Linked DNA regions of Caenorhabditis elegans. The protein of the gene in region 2 interacts with the protein of the main gene of each other region in a biochemical or structural test. Each region holds a gene or a part of one and is shown on either strand. Other genes may lie near its edges.

What was found.
Region 1: of the proteins of mec-4 (region 2) and mec-6, one has a biochemical effect on the other in vitro, tested with the Caenorhabditis elegans proteins (one study listed by BioGRID).
Region 3: of the proteins of mec-4 (region 2) and poml-1, one has a biochemical effect on the other in vitro, tested with the Caenorhabditis elegans proteins (one study listed by BioGRID).

Annotation. Positions count from the first base shown.
Region 1 is NC_003279.8:6,722,359-6,729,934, reverse strand, and holds mec-6 (Mechanosensory abnormality protein 6), read right to left. Parts: upstream 4,772-7,576; 5' UTR 4,769-4,771; coding exon 4,677-4,768; intron 4,626-4,676; coding exon 4,555-4,625; intron 4,430-4,554; coding exon 4,233-4,429; intron 3,914-4,232; coding exon 3,647-3,913; intron 3,593-3,646; coding exon 3,461-3,592; intron 3,063-3,460; coding exon 2,847-3,062; intron 2,053-2,846; coding exon 1,894-2,052; 3' UTR 1,846-1,893; downstream 1-1,845. Other genes in the region: lbp-6 (Fatty acid-binding protein homolog 6), read left to right, coding at 569-775, 1,330-1,530; W02D3.13 (uncharacterized protein), read left to right, coding at 6,907-6,972. UniProt on the Caenorhabditis elegans protein: Subunit of an amiloride-sensitive cation channel (degenerin channel complex) permeable for sodium, potassium, lithium and N-methylglucamine, and required for mechanosensory transduction (touch sensitivity).
Region 2 is NC_003284.9:16,802,101-16,810,351, reverse strand, and holds mec-4 (Degenerin mec-4), read left to right. Parts: upstream 1-3,236; 5' UTR 3,237-3,237; coding exon 3,238-3,420; intron 3,421-3,780; coding exon 3,781-4,036; intron 4,037-4,083; coding exon 4,084-4,446; intron 4,447-4,498; coding exon 4,499-4,610; intron 4,611-4,826; coding exon 4,827-4,987; intron 4,988-5,084; coding exon 5,085-5,233; intron 5,234-5,280; coding exon 5,281-5,438; intron 5,439-5,480; coding exon 5,481-5,569; intron 5,570-5,662; coding exon 5,663-5,835; intron 5,836-5,886; coding exon 5,887-5,982; intron 5,983-6,105; coding exon 6,106-6,220; intron 6,221-6,264; coding exon 6,265-6,325; intron 6,326-6,382; coding exon 6,383-6,511; intron 6,512-6,559; coding exon 6,560-6,635; intron 6,636-6,774; coding exon 6,775-6,960; 3' UTR 6,961-7,031; downstream 7,032-8,251. Other genes in the region: cas-1 (C-CAP/cofactor C-like domain-containing protein), read left to right, coding at 1-653, 754-887, 1,026-1,247, 1,342-1,920, 1,985-2,191, 2,403-2,549, 2,595-2,675; aak-2 (5'-AMP-activated protein kinase catalytic subunit alpha-2), read right to left, coding at 7,502-7,603, 7,787-7,938.
Region 3 is NC_003284.9:13,717,188-13,725,406, forward strand, and holds poml-1 (PON (paraoxonase) and MEC-6 Like), read right to left. Parts: upstream 5,735-8,219; 5' UTR 5,731-5,734; coding exon 5,648-5,730; intron 4,984-5,647; coding exon 4,860-4,983; intron 4,207-4,859; coding exon 4,060-4,206; intron 3,938-4,059; coding exon 3,825-3,937; intron 3,673-3,824; coding exon 3,580-3,672; intron 3,246-3,579; coding exon 3,138-3,245; intron 3,087-3,137; coding exon 2,913-3,086; intron 2,861-2,912; coding exon 2,774-2,860; intron 2,165-2,773; exon of another isoform or gene 2,141-2,164; coding exon 2,020-2,140; 3' UTR 1,959-2,019; downstream 1-1,958. Other genes in the region: shc-3 (SH2 domain-containing protein), read left to right, coding at 452-541, 658-728, 773-839, 887-1,039, 1,431-1,598, 1,642-1,754, 1,802-1,958; K11E4.6 (G_PROTEIN_RECEP_F1_2 domain-containing protein), read left to right, coding at 7,477-7,653, 7,733-7,887, 7,932-8,058, 8,171-8,219.

The DNA.
Region 1 (7,576 bases), on a different chromosome or scaffold from region 2:
AATGGGCTTCTATATATGTACAAGATACTAGTTTTTTACCTCAAAAAAAAATAAATTTAAAAAAAATTAAAACTTAGATATACTTTAATCAAAAACGATATTTTCCTCCTCAGAAATTTCAGAATTTTTTTGATAATATTTTTGTTTTTATTCGACTGAAAATTCCTCACTTTTCCTCTTTTCTATTTTTATTTTTCAAAAATGATGCAACGAATCAAAAAATGAATCATTCTTCAAAAAAAAACGAAACGAAAAATAGAGGAGACAGAAATAGAGAAAACGTTTTGAATCTCCGCCCACTCTTGCCCCCTATCATTCCATTTATCAGACCACCTAAATACGAATGATTTCCCAAGGCATTGCCATTCGTTTTCTTGTTGATTTGCAACTTTTCTTTTATTTCCATTTGCAAGTGATATGATAGTTCATCTTCTAAAATTAATTTTTAAAATAAGATTTTTTAACCATAATTTCAGACTAACGTTTTATTCAGACCTATTACATATCCGTTAATCTATTGAACTTTTTACCTGCTTTTCCAACTTCTTCTATTTACAGAACCATCACCATGTCTCAAGAATTCGTTGGACGCTGGAAGCTCATTCACTCAGAGAACTTCGAGGAGTACATGAAGGAGGTTGGAGTTGGATTGATCACTCGTAAGGCTGCTGCCAACTTGAAGCCAACTTTGGAAATCAAGGTCGAAGGAGATTTGTGGTATTCCAACCAATACTCCACATTCAAGAACACCACTCTTTCTTTCAAGTTGGGACAGGTAAGAAAGTGCAAAGTTTTTTACTTACAAAAGACAAAAATAATGTTATCAAAAAAAATGTGGGTTTTCTGATTCCAAATTTGCGACAAAAAAGTTACATAAAAATAAAGAAACGCACTACAAATTTATGAATAAAAATTGTTACTTCCATATTCACAGACAAAAAGTCTTAAAATTCCAGGTGATAACATTTCAAACCATAAATCATAAAATGATCATTGATTTCTTGTTATAAGACTTTGATAAACAATATGTATTTCCCATAGTTTTCGTGTTTTTTCATGCACGAATAATATTTTTTTAAAGCCATGAGAAACAATATCTGATTTCAAAATGCACGTTCGTTGATATCGGCAATTGTGGACAAAGTTTAGCGACTTTCTGCCCACAATTTGCTGTGAGCAAATTCCTGCCAACATTTTATCCTATCCATTTGAGCTTTTGGTTTGAGCAAGTTATCCCCAAATTCCAAGTAATTGTATCCAATAAAAATTGTTTCAACCCTGAAATTGAACTAGCATTCTTCAGACTTATATTTAATGTTTTTATCCCAGGAATTCGATGAGACCACTCCAGATGGCCGTACCGTCAAGTCAGTTGTCAACTTCGAGAACGGAAAATTCATTCACATTCAAAAGAAGATCAAGGACTCTGATAAGGAATCAATTATCACCCGTTGGCTCGAAGGAGACAAGCTTATCACTACTCTTGAATCTGGATCCGTTGTTTCTCGCCGCGAGTACGTTCGCGAATAGATTCTCAATTCCCAACATGAGCTTTGTTCTTGTCTTCCTGTGATATTTAATAGTAAATATTGAAATTTAAAGTATTACAATTATTTCTTTATGGCAATAAATGAGAAATATATTATCAGACTTCGAATCAAGACACTAAGAATGACTAATTGTGACGAGAAATTAGTTAATTTGAAAGCTGCTAAATTCTCATAAATCGACTTTCCTCTAAAACGCTGGAAGGCTATTGAAAAGGGGTGGAGGCGTGGCGCCCCCGTTACGCCTCGACAAGTTTATAAATAAATCTAGATACAATGTCTACAACACATCTGTTTCTAGATCATATTCATCGGTTTATTTTTTAAATAAGCTCTAAAAGTTTGACTATGTAATATATGAATGCGTAAGATCACAATGAAGAAGTCTTCCAAATGAACTTCCAATTAACATTTGTTCATCAGTGAATACAACTGATGAACTCGCCGAAATAGTTGCTCCATCGTTTGCATACGGTTCAGTTGTTACCCAAGAGTTGCCTTCTTCCTGAAACAAATGCGATTTTTGATTTTTTGACGCTTTTTCGCATTGATTAGTATTTGAATGAATTGATAAAAAACGTGGAAACAGAGTCTGATAAGTTCGAGTCTTGACAACATGTTTATGGGAACAAAGTGCTTGGTTAGCGTAATTTGATACTTTACAAATGATAAAGAAGCTATTATATTGAAGTTTCAAATTTATTTTACAAAAAAATTTGAACGGGGTAGAATACCTAGATTATTTTAATAAATAGAAGAAAACTGGGAAAGCTCGATGCACTAAAAATGCTTCGAAAAAAAAGAAAAAGTTTCAAAATTCTTCAAAATTTTTCGAAATCTCGTGAAACGGAACTAAATTTTTCCAATATTCACAACACTTGTCTCAATCATTTTTAGTCTGAAGTACCTTGTCTGTGGTCGAACATATCATGTGTTTCAGTCATAAGAACACTTGAATCGAATAAATTTATATATTTAAACCTCTCCGGAGATTACTTGTTTTTCATTAAATTCATTATGGTATTGACTAATTTCAAGGTTTTTATTCTAGTTTTATTTTTATTTATTATAATGTCATTTGTGGAGCCTTATATAATATTTCCATATATCTACGCAGGAACTGCTCCCTTCAAATTGGAACAGGAATCTTTCCACTATATAGTTGCTGGTTAAAATTTATTTTTATTTGAAAATGAAATAAATCGTTTTTTAAAGATTGAATTAGAAACACTGTATTCAGATCTGAGTTTTAAATTTCTGCCTAATAAACTTTGAAATAAAAACAAAAATAATACAAACCTGTATCCTTATTCTCAAAATTTGGCTTGGAGAATGTATATTTTGATTTTCTGGATGAGTATAATGCCATGCAGATTCATGAATAACTGGATGAGCAGCAATCCAAATATCTCCAGTTTTTGATTCAACGAAAACTCCAATTGGTGATGTCAATAACATCATTTCATACAATAATTCAAGTGTTGTATCCTTCGCTACTTTGTAAGCGAATATTGACTGAAAATTCTTCATTCAAAAGTTGTTTGTGCTTCAGGACAGTTTTTTTAAACAAATTATATTTTTGAAACGTAACAGAAATAATATAAAATCAAAGCTGTCGGTTGCAACAACTTTTTCAGTAGACCTCAGAATTGTATCTTCTTGGCAGATGCTGCGAAACTATTTAGCTTTTTTTAATGACTTCCGTGTTTCTAACATAGGTGATCCCAGGGAAAAGTTAGAAAATGCCAATGCGTATCATCGAAACAAACAAAGTGTTTAAAATTTTGTGAAGGCAGCTTTTCGAATAACTTGAAACAATTTCAGCATAAAAAAAACCGCCGAAGTGTCTCGAAGTTTTATTCAAAAGCCCAAATTGTTTTGTATATTTGGAAATTTACCAAAACGTTCCAAACCTCTCTGATCATAGATCCAACATAAAGAATTCTTCGTTTTGCGTCATATCCAATTCCCGTAGGTGCAATCAGGCTGGAAGCAGCAGTTGATAGTTTGCTACCATCATAGTAGTATACAGCTCCTTGTCCAGTCTGTAATAAACCGATTGTCATTTGATATGATTCCATAATTGGAGGTCAACTCACCTGTAATGAAAATTCCAAAATTTGAGCCCATCCTCTCCCAAATGCAGCCATATTTGTGACAAACAGTCGATCTGGTCCTACTACAGCAATATCCTGGAGACTTGAAAATGAAGGATCACATATTGCTTTTCGATGATTAAGTTTTGAACTTTCAACAATTTGGAAGAAATGAATACATTGATGATTTGGATGAGCATTTATTACATAGAGAAGTACACGACCATTTGATGAAGAATATGAATCAATTCCTGTTGGAATGAACTCTTTCTGAAAATAAAGGTTCTAGGTTTCAGGTTTTATTATAATTCTCGAAAGTATATAACTTTCCCGATTGGGGCTTCTTACTCGGATCTCGGGAAAACTTTTTGCCAACAACCTGGCTTCCTGGCTGTTAAAACTGCTCAGATAAGCTACCAATCTGCTGATCTGATTAAGTCTCTCATTTTCAAAATGTTGTCTGAAACTTGCAAAAGTTTGGCAGAAAGTTTCTCTCAATCACCGAGTAGTTCATTCATTATATTGCCCCCACTGCTGAAGCAAATCAATATTTCAATTCTTTTCAGGCTATTCAAACTAAATTACACACCTTATATTCATAACCATTCCAATTGATTGTCATTTCAATCAAATCATACATTTCCTGCTGACTCCTTCCATCTGTTCGATTTGTTTTATAAAATGCGATGCCAGTTTTTGTTTTCAAATCGTGTGCTCTACCGTACCCCAATGTTATGTACACCCGTTTTTGAGATTCGACGTATGTCATGCCGGCGGTTCCTTTATCTGGAATATAGATGGATGACTCTTTTTATAATTTTTTACTTTTGATATCCGCATAATGTGTTTCTAATTGTAATAAAACCTTTTTTCAGTTACAAAATTTAAAATTCAAAAAAATTTAAACTTACAGTTATCTGTTAGAACTCTGCAGGGACCAGGTGTGTGATTATAAACACGTTTGTTGAGATCAAGTACTACTCTGAAAACCAAAAAGTTAATATAATCACTAAAATTGTGCCCTTGAACTTACAAAAGTCTCAACAAAAAGCATGCAACCATAAATATAGTAATCCAAATAATAAAACGATTTATGAAATGAGCAGCTGCCGATTGGAGACCCATTTTCTGTAAAATAGAAAACCTGATTTAAATAAAGAACACTTAACATTTTTCATTTTTTAAAAGGATCACTACTGGATGGAAGGTTACTTTCTAAAGTCGAGATAAAATGAAATGCTAATCAAGTTCAGTGAGCTTTTATCAATTTTTATATCGGAAAAGTCAAAACAACGGACCACTTTTAAAGTTTAAAATGGATATTCCGCTCTCAAGTAAAACATACAGCATATACTAAAACAAAGGATTTGACTGTGTGGACCTCCTTGGAAACGGCTGGTCCCAGTGGCCATCTGCTGAAGGAGAGATAGTATTGAAAACTAGGAGGCAACCAGAGATAGAGGGAAGAATTCAGCTGAACGAGCTTTCTTCTGCTCTTGGTGAGCACTTCCTCCGTTCTTCTCATTTTCTTTTGGCAAGTCTGTTGTGAATTTTAAATGGGTGTAGCGTTAACTCAGAAAATGATGGACAAATGCATAATTAGTTTGTGATAATTGATTCTGCAATTTTTAATTTCCGTTTTTAAAAGTTCATAAACATTTTTTTTTGTTGCTTGTTGGTGTGTGTACACAGAATAATTTATTTGAATTCCCACCATTCCGTTGCGACATATTATCATCGGAGCGCAACTGCATTTACCAAAAAAACTGTTGAGGGGGTACGTTTTCGTAAGGGGATTTTTTCGTAAGGAACGCTTTCAGTAGGGCAATGTGCGGCGCGCCTTTTCGCAAGCCCGCCGCACAGTCCTTCGCAATGCGCCGCACGGCTTTTTGCAATGCGCCGCACGCTTCTTCGTATTTATTTATTTATTTTTCCAACAGGAAATTTCGAACGGAATTCAATTAAAAACGGATTTTTAATGGAAATTAATTAGTTTTATTCGAGCTAAATACGGATATTTTTTTCAGAATTTTCGATGACAAAAACGGGTTTCAATCGATTTCGAATCGATCAAAATTAATATTAATCGAAAATGAGCGTTTCCTTCCCGGAAAAAGAAGAACTTGATGCTGAGAGTGATCCAGGCGGAGCCAAACGATTAAAATGATAGAAGTGATTTTTTATTCAGTCGAAATGGAAAATAAAACTGCAAACAAAAGTTAATTCGATTAAATTAAGTAAGAAAAATCATGGCGAAATTTGGATAACCTGAGTATGGAAAATTGTTTCTATAATCTAATGGCACAGAGGTAAACAAAGAGATCAGTGATAGCATTTCGGAATTTCCATAAAAGGGAAAAGTTTCTCATTAAAAGCACTGAAACCGGTATAATTCAAAAACACTGAAGTACAGAAATCGGGGTTTTTGTATAATGGCACAGCGGTTGTTCGATTTCCGGATCGTCTCTTCAAGTCTAGGATCAATGATTTTGATAGTTGAATGGTCTTTTGAATCACTCCTCGCAGGTTTTGATAGTCGTTGTGATGATACATTCTCTGGAAAACAAAACAAATCGATGTTATATACCTATTTGAGAACTTAAAAAACTACAAAAAGAAACTTGCCTTCAGCTTGGAAAATTGCTGCTCACTCGGGTTGTTTGTGAACGCTGAAAAATACTTTTCACTCTTCAATTAATCTTTAGACATCAATACTTGCCTCTAAAAAAGCGTTTGGCTCCGCTTGGATCACTCTCAGCATCAAGTTCTTCTTTTTCCGGGAAGGAAACGCTCATTTTCGATTAATATTAATTTTGATCGATTCGAAATCGATTGAAACCCGTTTTTGTCATCGAAAATTCTGAAAATATCCGTATTTAGCTCGAATAAAACTAATTAATTTCCATTAAAAATCCGTTTTTAATTGAATTCCGTTCGAAATTTCCTGTTGGAAAAATAAATAAATAAATACGAAGAAGCGTGCGGCGCATTGCAAAAAGCCGTGCGGCGCATTGCGAAGGACTGTGCGGCGGGCTTGCGAAAAGGCGCGCCGCACATTGCCCTACTGAAAGCGTTCCTTACGAAAAAATCCCCTTACGAAAACGTACCCCCTCAAACTGTTTTTATTCCAACATTTTTGTTTTTTAAAATCTAAGTTAAACTTCTTTTTATTTTCTCTAAATTCATTTTTTTTATATCAAAAGATTAAATAAAATTTATAAATTTCATTCAGGCCAAAATATAACACAACAGGGAAACATTCGATGAATGCCGCATTAGACGAATCAATTCATTTTCTGCTGAAAATTAGGATTGTCGCAAAGCAATAAGTAAGTTCTCGTTGTTTTATGAATTTTAGACTTTGTTGGCTTACAATAACAAATATTCTATGATCTTATTGATAAACTTTGGCAAGTCAGATCAAAAAATTCTAAAAACATTTTGATCGGTGGGTTTACAGTTAAAGTTTAAAATTTACTATGATTACCTACTAGGGCTGTGCGGCTGATGACTCGGCTGATGGAGACAATCAAGTTTTTCAACGCGTTAGCACTGATCAATTAAAGAATATTTGTATTTGCAGTATTGGCTGAGTCATGAGCTTCTTATTCAAGAAAAAAGTTTTTTTAAAGTGCACACACCTTGACAAAACAGTCGGCTTTTTGAATCAGCCGAGTAACTCGGCTGTCGGCTGTCGGCTGATTGGAAAAACGAGTTTTTCTGGAAGGGGTGTGCACATTTTTAAAAACTTTTTTCTAGAATTAGAAGCTCAAGACTCAGCCGATATGGCAAATACAAGTATTCCCTAATTGATCATTGCTAATACGTTGAAAAACGTTGATTTGCTCCATCAGCCGAGTCATCAGCCGCACAGCCCTATTACCTACTATTTGTCCGAAAATTTTTAACTTTTAGTATTCCAGACGCAAAATT
Region 2 (8,251 bases):
ACAATCTCAACGTGCTAGGATTCAATCACCACTTCGTGATTTCGCCAGACTCACTTCCCCAATTCGTGAGGTTGCCCCTCAACCATATCATCCGCCACAGGCGCAGAATCAAAATCAGAATCCAGAGCGAATTTTCAGTCCAGTTGAGTCAAAAGTGTTTAATCGATCGGGTCCAACTGTAATTAATGGCTTCACGAGTAACCGTCACACGTATAATAGTCACACCGATGATTTCGATTCGAGAAATCGACGTGACTCGTCTCAACCACCAGTGGCTATCATTGAGCCGAATATCAATGTTCACATGCCATCCGACCCGATGCCATACAACAAACCTCATTTCGGACATGGTCACGGGCATAGCAACGGGAATAATAATGTACATTCGGTGAAACCAACATCTCACTACTCAAACCCAACGTTTTCACCGACTTCAACTTTTTCACCAAATTCGAACTACGACAACGATAACGACAGTGATCTGGATATTGAGGAAATGGCACGTCGTGCGCTTCCGAGGTATCTACGAGACAATGAAAAAACGGGACGACACAGAAACTTATACGGCGACAATTTGCACGGGATTCTTATCAAAAATCCGTCACTTCATCGGAGTTCTTCAAAGAAAGTTGTATTTATAGATCAGAATAAAGGTAAAACTTAGTAAATTGTAAATTCAAAACTAAAAATTCTAGAAATAAGCAAACCGGTTCGATACTTTTGAATTAATTAAAATAAAGTTAATGTTTTCAGCGTCTGCTGCCGCTTCTGCCGGTGACTCTGGAGAAGTCCCAGCTCATGTTCGTGCTTACGATGATGCCATCGAGGAGCCACTGGCCAATTGGAGCAAGTTGACAGATCAACTCGGCGGCGATCTTGCTGCTGTGGTGAGTGTTCAAATGATGTTTTGTATTGATTAAAACAAAAATAAATAAAAAATTGCACTAATCTATTATAATTCCTTATCTTTATCCAAATTACCCAACATAGAATAAGAGTTTAACATCGTAAAACAAATATTTCAGAAGCCAAAAGTGTTGGCTATGTTTGCCAGTATGCGCAACTATTTATGGTCTGCTGCTGGAAAATCGGAGCCATCGGCCGAGGAAGCTCAGAAGATGCTCACTCCAGTTATTAACTTGCTTGGTGAAATCAACAATTTCAAGGACACGAAGAGAAAGACCCCTCACTGGAACCATCTCAATTCGGTGGCTGAAGCACTTCCGGCTCTTGGATGGGTGACCGTGGTATGTTAACATTCAAAAGTTGAAATAAAATATTACTGTGCTCAAGATTCGATAATCTTAACATACATATTTTCTAAACTGCTTCTAATTTCAGAAGAAAACCCCAGCTCCATACGTGAAGGAGTTCATTGAGGCTGCTCAATTCTACATCAACCCAATTCTCCGCGAGTTCAAGGAGACCGATCCAAGACACGTTGAGTGGACCAAGGCTTGGAAGGCTGTATTTGAAGAGATGCAGAAGTTTGTTCGTCAAGTTCACACTACTGGTCTAGTCTGGAACAGCGCTCCAGGAGCCGCCCCTGATGCTTCTGCCTCTGCTCCATCTGCCGCTGCTCCATCAGCTCCAAAAGCTCCAGCAGGTCCAGGAGGACCACCCCCACCACCTCCACCACCACCAGCCGACTTCTTCGCCAACATTGCTCCGCCACCAGTAGATGCTGACAAGGCAAGCCGTGATGCTCTCTTTGCTTCGTTGAACCAGGGAGAGGGAGTTACTTCTAGACTGAAGAAGGTCACGGCCGATATGCAGACTCACAAGAACCCAAACCTCCGAGGAACCGCTGTTGTGCCAGCCGCTGGTGCTTCTCAGGGCGGCTCATCTCCTGCCAAACCAGCTGCTCCAGTAAGGAAGCCACCACACAAGGAGCTGGAAAACGGAAAACAATGGATTGTGGTAAGTGTTTCAACAACTTGAAAAACATATTCAATAAGCATTATCAATGAAAAACTATTTACAGGAGTACTTTGTCAACGATCCAAACATTGTTCTCGATGTTGCCGATAAGAAGCAGACTGTCTATATCTACCGTTGTGAGAATTCTGTGATTAAGGTCAACGGAAAGGCCAATTCTATTACTTTGGACGGGTGCAAGAAAACGTCTGTTGTGTTTGATGCCCTTGTGGCTCAGTGCGAAACTGTCAACTGCCAATCTGTGCAAATTCAGGTAATCAGAAGACTTTTAGTTGTACAAGCTTCAATACAAGCTCAAATACAATACTATTTTTTTTCCGTCTGAACATAAAATTAGTTTCTAAATAAAAAATGTGAAAATAAATATTTGGTTTTAATCGTTAAAATCTTCCAAATTACTAATAAAGTTCAGTCAACTATATGCTTCGAAATTCACTGAATCTATTATTGTTATTAATTTTTAGACCCTTGGAGAGCTCCCAACTCTTTCAATCCAGAAGACTGATGGATGCCAGGTGTACTTGTCAAAGGTGGCTCAAGGATGCGAGATTGTCACTTCCAAATCCAGTGAGATGAACATCTCCGTGCAAACCAATGATGATGGGGATTATGTAAGTTTTTCGGATTGTAGAACCCAATCTAAATTTCCTTTTCAGTCGGAGTTCCCGGTTCCGGAGCAGTTCAAGACAACTTTTGTCAATGGCAAGCTAGTCACTGTCGTCTCGGACATTTGCTAAATCTTCTCACGTCATAACCTTATTTTTCAACTTCATGAACTATCCCCTCGAACTTTTTTATTTGTCCCTGTCTACAATTCTTTATAAGCAATTGAGACACACTTTGCTTTATTAAATAATACCGATTTTGTTTTGTATATGCATTGACTGGTGCTCAACTATTTTTATTGAAAAAATTACTTTTTACTGTCTCGTCGAATAAAAGTGATCCCTTCCAAAAAATAGTTATTCATGTTTGAAGGTTTGTGATCGTAGAACAATTGCACCGAATGTAGTGTAAAAAAAATTCCAGAATGTTCAAATACATTTCCACCCTCACCAGAACATCTCAAACACCAGGCACATTTCAACACACTTTCATGGATCTTATCTTGCCTCAAAACCATCAGCTTTCTTCTCATTCTACAAGTATGAAACAATCTACTATTCTATACATTTATAATGTAATGGAACCATGTGAAGACATGAGCAAGATCATTGTCGTCAGCGACTACCCCTCCTTCATTTTTCTTAGAGTATCAGTTTGCTAATGCTATTTTTTTTATCGCTATCAAGTTATAGAATGTCATGGATGCAAAACCTGAAAAACTACCAACACCTTCGGGACCCATCCGAGTACATGTCCCAGGTTTATGGAGACCCGTTAGCGTACTTACAAGAGACGACTAAATTTGTGACAGAAAGAGAATATTATGAAGATTTTGGTTATGGCGAATGTTTCAACTCTACAGAATCAGAAGTACAAGTGAGTTTACGTAATTTTCAAATTGCAACGGTAAATTTTATTTTTGTATGCAATTGTATTTTGTTCCCAGTTTTTGAAATATTCGTTATATACATTGAAGTTTTTCAACTGTAAATTTGAAGGCCCGTATTTTCTTAATTCTTCGATAAGTATTTTGTCTTTATAACTACTAAGTTTTTGCTGAATCAACTTGTTTATTTTACTTTGATAGCTTATCTGCAAAACTGTACCAAAATTAAAAACCAAGATTTTTTGTTTTGGAACAATATAATCAAAACGCTTAAAATGTTCAATAAACGGTAAAAAAAATAAAACTTGCAAAAAGTCGCAGCTGAGTAATCTAACATTTCCGAATTTCAGTGTGAACTTATTACGGGAGAATTCGATCCAAAATTGCTACCCTATGACAAACGTCTAGCCTGGCATTTCAAAGAGTTTTGCTACAAAACATCTGCTCACGGAATTCCCATGATTGGTGAAGCTCCAAACGTATATTATCGAGCAGTTTGGGTCGTACTTTTTCTTGGATGTATGATAATGCTCTATCTTAATGCTCAATCTGTGCTTGACAAATACAACAGGAATGAGAAAATTGTCGATATTCAATTGAAATTTGGTAGTTTGAAAAATCATGTGCTCCTTACTGAGCTTTTTTATTTCCAGACACTGCACCTTTTCCAGCAATTACGCTTTGTAATTTGAATCCTTACAAAGCAAGTTTAGCAACAAGCGTGGATTTAGTAAAGCGAACGTTGTCAGCATTTGATGGAGCAATGGGAAAAGCCGGAGGAAACAAAGATCACGAAGAGGAACGCGAAGTTGTCACCGAACCACCCACCACCCCTGCACCCACCACAAAACCGGCACGTCGTCGAGGAAAACGTGATTTATCTGGAGCATTTTTTGAGCCAGGATTTGCAAGATGCCTTTGTGGAAGCCAAGGGTCTAGTGAGCAAGAGGATAAGGATGAGGAGAAGGAGGAAGAGTTACTTGAAACAACTACCAAAAAGGTATTTAATATTAATGGTGAGTGTTGCATGTCAAATGAGCATCGCGTAAAACATTCTTTTGAACACAGATGCCGATGAGGAATGGGATGGAATGGAAGAATATGACAATGAGCATTATGAGAATTACGATGTGGAAGCAACTACTGGAATGAATATGATGGAAGAATGTCAATCAGAGAGGTAAAGTCTAGTCTAACAACTTTGACAAAAAAGTGTTTGAAAAAGTCTAGTCTTACAATTTTGAGGTACGGTAAAGTTTGTCCATTTTGATAAGTCCAATTTTTGAGAAGGCTCAATTTTGCCTTCCATAAATTTGAAATTCATATGGTTCCAAAATACAGAAGTTCATAATGAGACGTTTCGAAATGTTCTCCACAAATCTTTTTTCTCGTTCAGAACAAAATTCGACGAGCCGACGGGATTTGACGATCGGTGTATTTGCGCTTTCGATAGATCAACTCATGATGCGTGGCCCTGTTTTCTGAACGGAACCTGGGAAACCACCGAATGTGATACTTGCAATGAACATGCTTTCTGCACCAAAGATAACAAAACTGGTAGGTTTTTCAATCACTTTGCCAAACTAGCTTCACTTGTTTGATTTTACTCTTCTTAATTTTTATTGTTGTTTTTTTCTAAATCGGAATTTTTCAGCGAAGGGCCATAGATCCCCATGTATTTGTGCTCCATCTAGATTCTGTGTAGCATACAACGGAAAGACGCCACCAATTGAAATTTGGACATATCTTCAAGGAGGAACTCCAACTGAAGATCCAAACTTCCTTGAAGCTATGGGATTTCAGGTAACAATCACAAATATATAAATCAAGTGGAAACTGAAAAGTTTCAGGGAATGACAGATGAAGTTGCAATTGTCACTAAAGCCAAGGAAAACATCATGTTTGCAATGGCTACCTTGTCAATGCAAGATAGGGAACGGCTAAGTACTACAAAAAGGGAACTTGTCCACAAGTGCTCGTTTAACGGAAAAGCGTGTGATATCGAAGCGTTAGTTAGGCTTTCAGATATGATATAAATTCAATTATTCAGAGATTTTCTGACTCATATTGACCCTGCGTTTGGTTCGTGCTTTACCTTCAATCATAATCGAACAGTAAACTTGACTAGTATTCGAGCAGGTTAGTTTCCTCAAAATTTTTTCCACATATTTTTTTCTAAAATAATTTTTGAAGTCCGTTATGTATAAACCAAAAAACGTGTTCCGATTCCAGGTCCCATGTACGGATTACGTATGCTGGTTTATGTAAACGCGTCTGACTATATGCCAACCACGGAAGCCACAGGCGTTCGTTTGACTATTCATGACAAAGAAGATTTCCCATTTCCTGATACGTTCGGTTATTCTGCTCCAACTGGATATGTATCCTCATTTGGATTACGATTGGTATTAGAAATTCAAACTCTTTTTATAGAGTAATGGTGTTGTTGTTTTCAGCGAAAGATGTCACGTTTGCCAGCACCTTATGGAGATTGTGTGCCAGATGGCAAAACATCGGACTATATTTACAGCAATTATGAATATTCGGTAGAGGTGAATAGTAAACAGAATTTAAGCAAGTTTAGTAGGAAAAATGGGTCATAGAAACTTTGTGATTCTTGTTAAAATAGCAATTAAATATAGAACTTAATATGATAACAGAGGGAACTATTCCAGGGCTGCTACCGTTCTTGCTTCCAACAACTCGTGCTGAAAGAGTGCAGATGTGGAGATCCACGTTTCCCAGTCCCTGAAAATGCACGGCATTGCGATGCAGCAGACCCTATTGCAAGTTAGTTTCAAATTTGACATCTCCATAAATATTTTTTTCTGCAGGAAAATGTCTTGACGCCAGAATGAATGACTTGGGAGGCCTACACGGATCTTTCCGTTGCAGGTAACTTTTGAATTGTTATATACTTTTTAAATAAAAAACTGCAATTTCAATTTTAAGATGCCAACAACCATGCCGCCAGTCAATCTACTCCGTTACATACTCGCCGGCAAAGTGGCCGTCGTTATCTTTGCAAATTCAACTAGGATCGTGTAATGGTACAGCGGTAGAGTGTAATAAGCATTATAAGTAAGTTAATTCAAGAAAAAACACACTTTAAAATTGGGCCTATTTGAGAGAGAACGGAGCAATGGTGGAAGTGTTCTACGAGCAGTTGAATTTTGAAATGCTCACTGAATCAGAGGCTTATGGGGTGAGTTGAAAAATTTAGGCAAAGAACGTGTATCAAAGAAATGTATCAAAAAAATTCGAAAAAATGCCGAATTACTACTAGCGAGCAGGCAAAAAAAAATTTATTTTTATTCCAAAAAATTTATCTCAACTATTTCTAGTTTGTCAACTTGCTAGCCGATTTTGGTGGACAACTCGGTCTTTGGTGCGGAATATCCTTCCTTACCTGTTGCGAATTTGTGTTCCTTTTCTTGGAAACTGCCTACATGAGTGCCGAACATAACTACTCTCTGTACAAAAAGAAGAAGGCTGAGAAGGCAAAGAAAATTGCGTCTGGATCTTTCTGAATTTGTTTTTTCTTGTTTTAAAGTTACCATTGCAATGTTGTGTCTTAAAATAAAAATTTACATGAGAATAATTGAATAATTTTGGGTAGGAAATTATTCAATTAATATTTTACTTACAATAGACACAAAGAAGTAGGAGAAGGGGAGTTTAAAAGACAGAAAAAAAAACTACTGAAGAGAAACATATAAAAAACAGAAACAATCACTCGCTGAAGGAAAATCTATTCACAGAAACAAAGGGGGTGACAAGTCAAGTCATAACTTTAAATAATTATTTGTATGGTTACTTGTCAAAATTGGCTGAAAATGAAAGCGGCACTAGAATAGCATCAATTAAAATACGTGGCATTTACGGAGGTGAAGGGGGGAGGGGCAAAACCAAACAGAGTCAAGAAAAAAAATACAAAGATACTGTAAGCTGCAACAAAGTGAACCAATATAAGAAACGGGGGTTTCAAGCTTAATACAAGGAATGGAAGAAATAAATTTTGAGACAGAAAAGTTGAATTTTACACAGAGCATTGTTGGCATCAAGGAGTGCTTAACGAGCCAGTGTTCCAATCAATGCGGCGCAAATCTCAAAGAATTGCATAGTCTGGGAAAGCTTAGCTCCTCCAGGAGATGGTGGTGGTGTCACATCGCACTGAAAATACTCGGTCATTGAAAATTAGTGCGTTAATTATTTAAAGGTAGTGGCATCAACTTCTTGTCACTCGAAGATTTTTAAAAAACCTATAACTATATCAACCACTCCAAATACAATTCCAGTTATTTGTAATACTTCACAATAAAAATATTGAAATAAAAGAAAAATATTAATTCTCACCGACATGTCCGAAAAATCATGCACTTCCATTTTCTCAATACTCGCCTCCATACTCATCGCCTGTGGCATGCTTGACGTTCTAGTTCCACGAATTCCGGCCGGCTTCTGCGGCATAGACATTGATGCGTGTCGGGATGAAGATGCACTGGCGGCTGAAATTTTTAATGAATATTGGTTGAGGTGGAAATTATATATTCATTTGACCCATTAGGAAAAAATGCATACAAAAAAAATCGTCTTGAGAAGACTTGACGCTATTGAAAAAGAATTTCCATTGACCTTTTTATTTTTCCAACTGCAAAGCAAACTTCGTTTTAAACATTTCTGAACAAAATTATTGTGACACGTTAAGCTAGACTACATGCAGAAACTTAGGTTATAGAGGGGCATGTTCAGAGACCATTGCAAAATATTATTCTACGGCTTTTCAAATTCAAATTGTGATTTTAGTTTAAAAAAATGCAC
Region 3 (8,219 bases), 3.1 Mb from region 2:
AATCGGCGCCCGGTTAGCTCAGTCGGTAGAGCACCAGACTCTTAATCTGGTTGTCGCGGGTTCGAGCCCCGCATTGGGCTTAGATTTTTGTTTTGTTTTTGCGGAATACATATTCTACGTTTCTCCTTTTTAATTGGGAGCGAAGTTAGGGTTTAGTTGGAAGTTTGAATTTGCATATAACATTGTGTAAACAAAAATTAAAGTCACAGTCCATATAACATTCTCGATGGAATTCTAGTGTAATTTTTGAACTCACCTATCAGCAAATTACGAGAAACTGACTTACGCCGCACAATGTTTGCAAAATGCAAAAATTTGGTTCTATTGTTAACAAACCTAGTCTATCATTTGAGTGTACATATTTGCAAATAACGTGGTTATCAACAATTTTTATCATTTTCTCAATTTCTACTTTTGTGGTCACTTGAATATTGATTACTGTTATTTGGTAATGACTACCGCAGTTTTGAACGACCCCACATCTTCTTGGGGTGAATCAGCTAAACATGTCAATGCAAGCGGGGATAGATTTGCTGTTAAGGTGAGTTTGTGAAAATATAAATGAATGGGTGGTAAATTTATTTCTTAAGTTCTGTTTTAATCAGTTGAAAATGTTGCTGAAGTTTGTCACTTTAAATACAAAATGTCAAAATTCAGTACATGGGATATGCACCGATACTACAAACTATCAGGGAAAGACCCATTGCGGATAGAGATGCACTTGTTAGGTAAAGTGAAAATAGAAGACAGATTACTAATTTTAACCTTAAAGACATTGCATCAACACTGTTGTGTCTTCTAGAGCAACGCATGAGTATTCTGTAATTCAACATGAAGGGGTTTGAATAGTTTATTTAGTTTTGTCAAAGTGTTGTTAATAATTCAGGTTGTCGGTCCGTATGTTAGTGTATATCAGTTGGACTTATTTCTTAACATCAGCAGTTTCACTATAACATGTTTTCACATTCAAGACGGCAGAACTCATTTGCTCGGAAGATATAAGAATAACCAGATCTCGCACTATAAATACAGGGAAATAGTGAGTTTTTTAAAGATTTAACAAATATTTAAGATCAAAGAAGAGGTGTCATCAAAGAGGAATTTACTGAATTAAGTAAGAGGGATTATTCCATAAACGTACCTAAAATAGAGTCGAAACCTTTTTGAGTTGTGAATTTTCTAAAAAAGTCGAGCGGAACTTGTTTATCAGCATTTTTGATATAAAAATTTGAATTGGCCGTAATACCATTTAGGCGGTACTCTAAATCTAACCGCTTTGTGGCAAGTTCTAGCCTTAATCTTTCAGTCGTAACTAAATGTATATTTTTAACATAATTGATAATTGCAAGTTTGTGCACATGCACTACAAGTTTTATCATTTTCCCAATTCTCTATATTCTTTTCAAATAATGCAAAAATTCACATTTCAGGATGGACGTCATTATTTGGGCATTGTGATGAAAATTGGAAGAACTGAGAAACGAGAGTGCAACGTTTTCATGTTGGATAACGACATCGCCCTGAATGACCTTACAACAAAATTGCGAAGTGTCGATGAACGAAGACATAATAATGCGCTACAGTTGGAAACTCGCCTGGTTATTTTAAATAACATTCTTTCGCAAAATTATAATTATTCAGAGGTCGACACAAGAATACAGGTACACACCGAACATGCTTGCATGCTACCATGGTCCGCTGTCACACGAAGACGCCTGTAGGCAACTAGTTCTACCGGGAGAATTCATCATAAGGTATGTTTCGTTACTTCTATAAAAAAAACAAATTTTGCATTTTATAGGGATAGTTCAATGCGTGGAGAGTTTGCCGTTTCCTATAAAACTAGTCATGGACCTCACGACAAATCAATTGTGCCCAACAATAACATCGACTTTTTCCGACGATTTCAAGTCGATCAGAGTGTTTTGAAACATCCAGTTGTGAGACGTCAAGAGTGAAACCTAATACATTTTTATAATTTCAAATTTTTGTAACGACTACAATGCAAATAAAACTAGTTTATAAATGGCAATTGAGAATTTTAGTTCCATCGGAAATAAGAAGACTCCTTCCCGCTCGGACTGTCACATTTGCGTTGGAAATAGTGGCACCATCGTTAGAGTATAATTGTGTGATTGTTCTGAATAATAAAAAATATAAGATGTCGATTCATTTTATTTTTCGAGTTTTTATCCGAAAATAATTAACATTTGATGCATGCAAATGCATCCATTGTTAGCCGTAGAACTTTTTCAAATCAAAAGGACTGCTTCTTTCTGTTTTGTCAATTTTTCGAACATTCAAATTTGGTAACTGGTGAATTCTCCCCGTTTCCACAATATTTTTGCACAAAAAAGTGCCAGACAAATATGACACATAAATTTCTTTTTTTTTTACATTACAAGTCAAAATTTTGATGCGTTGAATTTTATTTCAGTCTATAAATTATGTCTTGTGTTCATAATTCAGAACGCAATTTATATGTTTTTTTCTTTACGCGCTGATGGGGGCGTTTTAAGTTTCAAGTGGTTCAGCTCCTTTGTCACAATATTTTCGTACAAACATGTAAAAGTATTTTCATTTTCATTATTCTTCAAATGTGTTCAATTTACTATCAATTAGACGCGCTGATTAAGACGTTTGGAATTTGTGATAGAACATTTGTTTGATGTGTAAATATGAGCCTTAACTTATCAGTTTTTAAAAACGAAATTGATTTCATCAATACATATTCAATATTTTGAAATTGTTTTTTTCAAGGAAAACAACTCACAGAGGTTTATCTTTGTCCGTGGGTACAGCAACTCGAAGTATCAAAGATGGTGAAGATGTTATGACATTAAATAGACTGAGTAAATACCTGAAAACTATCGACTTGACATTTTTCATTTCAAACAAAAACTTTAACCTACCGAAATTTAACTGGATGGCAGGTAATCAAAAATGAGCCATCAAAATCTTTCCAAATTGAGCTCGGCGAGCAGCCTAGATCGTACTCCTTCGAACTAACTATTTCAATTCCATTTTTGACTTGCACCTTCATTCGATAAATAGAGTTTCTGGTGGATGACGTAACAAAAATTGATCTACAAATTAAAAAAAAAAACAAATATTCAAAAACACATTTTAAAACCCACTTTTTTACAGAATCATAAACGATGCCAGTTGGGAAAGAAACTCGGGATATTTGTTGTATATTATTTCCACTCACAAAATAAATGTAACCGGTTGGAATCGGTACAACTCTGAAAAATTTTGAATACCGAAAATTGATTGTAAAGCCAGATTTACTTTACAAAAATTTGGTTAAAACAGAAGCATGAGTTTTTAGACTTAATTATTACAATAAAAACAAAAATTTTAAGAAAATTGCTTTTTCTTGTGGGATTTGGGATTTTTGCTTGAGACAGTGATTTAAAAAATACCCAAAAAAGAAATAACGTGAAATTTCCGATAAGTGCAATGAATTATTTTTACAAAGTGTTTGCATACAAGCGAAAAAAAACAGTCAACCCTTGATGATAATGCAGAAATCTACCAAACTCTACTGTCCTGTTTCAATAAAAAAAAAAACTGCACCGTTCAATGATATTTAATGCAAAGTTGGTTCCAAATATACTGGATTTAACAAAAAAGAACGAATTTAGACCAGCAGCCGATATATCAGTGAGTCTGAAATAAAAATGTGGAATGAAACTCGATTACGTAGAAAACTTGCTTAAGAAGCAAGTTTCAAAAAAGTTCAACATTTAAATCTAATCAAAAACTTAGAGTTTCTCTCTTCAAAACATGAACCAACTGAAAAATAAGAAAAATAATCCTACCCTTCAAATTGCTCATCTTTGAATGTTTTTCGGTATTGCCACGCATCATTCTGTTCGTTTGTCTCAAAAACATCGATATTGTTGGTCCTTTTATTGTGCACAAAAACATTTGGCTGAAATTTAAAAAAACGCTCTGGCATTAAACATCTCCCGCCCAACACCAATACCCCAAAGCCATGTTAATTATTGGAATGCATGTGGCGCTGGAGACAAGTAAAACTCATCAATTACTTACATTACTTGTCTCACTGTTGATACTTAATGCTCCTGGTGTCAGACGCCATTTTGGTGGTCCGCCGCGAATCTCTATTTCTCGAGCGGTACGATTGTCGGAGTAAAATGTGAAGAGATGTGTTTGGTCTGTATTGATGTCTTTCGAGTTCTATAAAAATATTCTGTTTCAAAGTTCTGTTCAAATTTATGTTCAAATTTCAAATCAAAATTTCTTACGACGCTTGCTTTCTCAGTTTCTCAACATTAAGTCGCTTTTGGAAAATTATGAATTGTGATGATATTTGGTTAGTCTGTCATAAGTGTGTTTTGGAGCAATATACCTATGTATTTGCTCTACAATATTCTGATAAGATAATCCAATTCCTTAACTTTTTATTGAGCAATAGAAGAAAAAGCTCTGTTTTTGTGAACTACTTCACATTTTCACCTGTTATCGCAATTAAGATTTCCCAGACATCAATTTCCGTATTTTTTGAAATGTACATATTGCTACTGTTCCTATGATTTCTATTGTAACTTTTTGAAAAAGGTTAAAACACATTCATTCACTCTATTCTCTGTCTCATCGTAAATCGGAATAAACATCAAGTATTTCTCTTTAACGTCATGACTACTTAGTAAAGTGCATTGCTTCATTTGAAATTTATCATGTTGCATAGCTTATTCAAAATTGCACGTCTAAGAATTTTTGCATTTTCATCGATAAATGTTAAAAGGTTTGTGATAACTTTCAGAACATCGCAAAAAAATGTTCCAAATCTGAACTTATATCAATAGTTGAGTACATATTAATCAACATACCGTAGTCATATACAGTCGTCCCGTGGTACTGGTAGTTAGTCCAAGAATTCCTGGCAAATTAGGAATAACGCCACATTCTCCAGGAACATGGTTGTAAGTCCTTTTGTTGATATCAATGTGTAATCTGAAACTGTTTCAGTCGTTTTGTTTAAAAAAAAACATAAATATTCTTCAAACTGTTTGTGTTCAGACTCTTCTCATTAATATTTGATTCCCTTACTTTTTCTCGTCTCTTGTCTAAAACGATACCCTAGAAAAATACATGTTTCTAACTGGTGTGTTAATGGAAGGGTTTATATTTACGAATTAGTTGCTCACAATTCTGACTGTCTTTTTACACATTTTTAGTTTATTATACAAAATCACTTTGAGTACTTATAATCGCGTGCTCAAGCACTTAGAATATTACAATTTTTCAAAAGAGATGGTGTACTTTTTTGGGATTTTTTTCCAACGATGACATTTTTTTTGTATTCGGAAACTTATGATCAGATTTTTTGCACTAGTATTTCCCTTTTGGTACATTATTAGATTATTTAAATAAAAAATTCAAGCAGTATTTTTCAAATTGTAGAAAGTCTATTACAATGCTGATTTTTGTTTTTCGTTTTTTTAAAATTTAATTGAGAACCTTTTTTGTGGTGTAAATTCTATGTTCCGTTTTTTATTGTTTTAACACCAGTTTTAGAAAAAAAGTGGGTTGGAGCATTTTTGTAACTGAACAAAATATTTTTCAATAGACTTATCATTATATTTTTAATTAAAAAATGTACCACTTTCCCACTTACAAAAGTTTCCCAAATAGAGTAGTGACTATAGCAAAACTTGTAAAAAATAAACAGTTACTAGCAAACGGGCTTAGCTGTAGCATGTTTCCAAGACAATATGAGCTTCTTTCCCACTTAACAAAGCTGTTTCTCCTCTCTTTGCATTTAAAATGTTTCCCTCGGTTCAAGCTGTCTATTCTATCGCATGGTGTCGTTATGCAACCCTCTATTGTGCATTAAGAAAGAGCTAGTTGGTAGTTGTTGCAAACATGATGAGCATAAAGAAAATTAATATCATAAGGCATTTATCGAATTAGTTTTTCATCTTGTTTCAAACCGGAAGCGATTTGGTATTTTGCTCCTCCTTGAGCTTCATGTATTTCAAGTTGTTAATTTTTGGTTTACAGTTTTTTTTTGTTGCAAATTTCAGATTCAATAAATAGAACATGATATTTTTCAAAAAAAATCCTCTCCGATTTGAATCAAAATACTGCGTGATCACGGCGCAAACTGCATTATTTTTATAGTTGTAGGAAACTTCAAGAAAAAAAATTTAGCTTGCAGTATAACTTTGTTTTATTTCTTTTAAAAAAATTAAAAGCGTTGATTTTACGCGTCAACTTCACAAATAGAAAAATTTGACTGATCAGTTTTGAAATTAAATTTAGAGCTTAGATAACGCAATCAGAAGGTGGGCGTGATGAAGTTTCTTATTTGTTGTTTTCTAAAAATTATTTTTCAGTTAAAAAATTTAAAGTATTTTTCCGGTTTTTCACACACGGAATCCAGTGAAGCATGTTCCTTCCAAGAATAAACGAGTATCCATTTTTTGCAAGTATTTTCAGATGAGTTTATTTCTGGGGAAGAAAAAATTGAGTTAAATTTTATTTGAAATAACAAAAAAAAAAGTTGATACATATTCTGATTTATAAGGTTTTTTTTGTCAATTTTCATTTATTTTTTGAAGGTAATCTACTTAACCGAAACAGTTTAATAATTTCGGTTTTTTGTGATTAAGTTACATAATGAAACTCACTTGAGCATTTTCTGCTCACATCATCCCGTCCAGACATTAATACCACCCACTTAATCTCAAGAGTGAGGTTATTCATACCTACGTCTTAAGTTTATTCGGTTTCGTAGACATGAAACGTTGATAAGGAAATTTGTCACGCAATGTCCAATGAACTTAATAATCTCTCAAAGAACTTTGAACTGAAATAATCGAGATGAAAAATTTGTTTAGGAGTTTTTTAGTTATATCGTTTTCCGAAAAGTGGTTAAGACTATTTCAAAATTGGTATTCAAGTATCAGTGGATCGTACTCAGTGTACATGAGTGATGATCAAGGATGTTGTAAATTTTTACTTTGTTTGTTGACAAATACTCATATAATCCAAATTTATTGATTTTTTAATTTACATGTTTTCATCGCCTTCTTATGCTCATTGCGTAACAATCGCTCTTTGAATATCTGATCTATAATAATAATGAGACATGCAAGTTTTACTGACATACAACAACTGAGTATATGTAGGTGTTTGCCCGAGAGAGTTCTGGAAACACGGAAAGAATATCGAATGTCTGATGTCCAGAATAGGAACCATATTTCCGTTACACGCCTTTTTGTTTCTTTCCTCGTAATCTCTGTAATCTTTATTCTTTTTATTCACTCATTCATTTGCAACTTAGAACCAAGAGAATTCAAAGTCAAATATTGCCGCCTACTCAAGTAGTTTACAAGTTATCGAATTTCAAACTCTCTTACCTGAATATTTTCACTTTACTCACTTTTTTTCGTTTCGTCATTTTCGAATATTTGAATTTTCCAAATTCCAGGACACTCAAAAATGAGCCATGCAAGTATGGTAATATCGGCATGCGCTTTTAATAGAAGTATTGCAACGCATATTTTGTACATCGTCCCCGAGATAATGTGTTCATTGTCTGGAATATTGTCAGTGGCAATAATAGTATATTCGTTCTTTCTATATGGGTTTAGACTGCTGTTCCATTATAATGCCAAGGTAACGTTCACAATATAACAGCATTTTGAAAGCAAAAAAAATAACAACAAAGAGTCATTGAATTAATTTTCAATTTCAGATTCTCATGATTCTGCTCACGATCTTTATCCTTATTTTTTCATTGGATATCGTCTATGTTTGCACACGACAAATATACCTTGCATTCAGTTATGAAAATGATTGTGATTTAGTTTTTGAAACAGCGTCTTGTTCCATATTCAGAAGAATTGCATTGTGAGTTACTACTGTAAAGGTTGAAGTAGTTTTTTTTACTTTAGAACATGTTTCGTTGGAGTCACTACAACTCAGTTCTGTCAAATGTTCGAGCGTCTAATTGCTACAGTAGCAAAAGAGAAATATGAATTTCAAACCCAATGGCTTGGTGGTTTATTGGTTTTTTTTTCAGTGAGTTTATTTTTCATAGTTTAAAATTCAAAATTTCTGAAGTTTACGTGTATGTACCATAAATTTTCGATACAATTTCTCAATAAATAGGTTTCCCGTTTTTTTTTTCCAGATTCTCTCCGCAATTCTTGCAATTGAATGGACTTTGTGGAATGAAGATC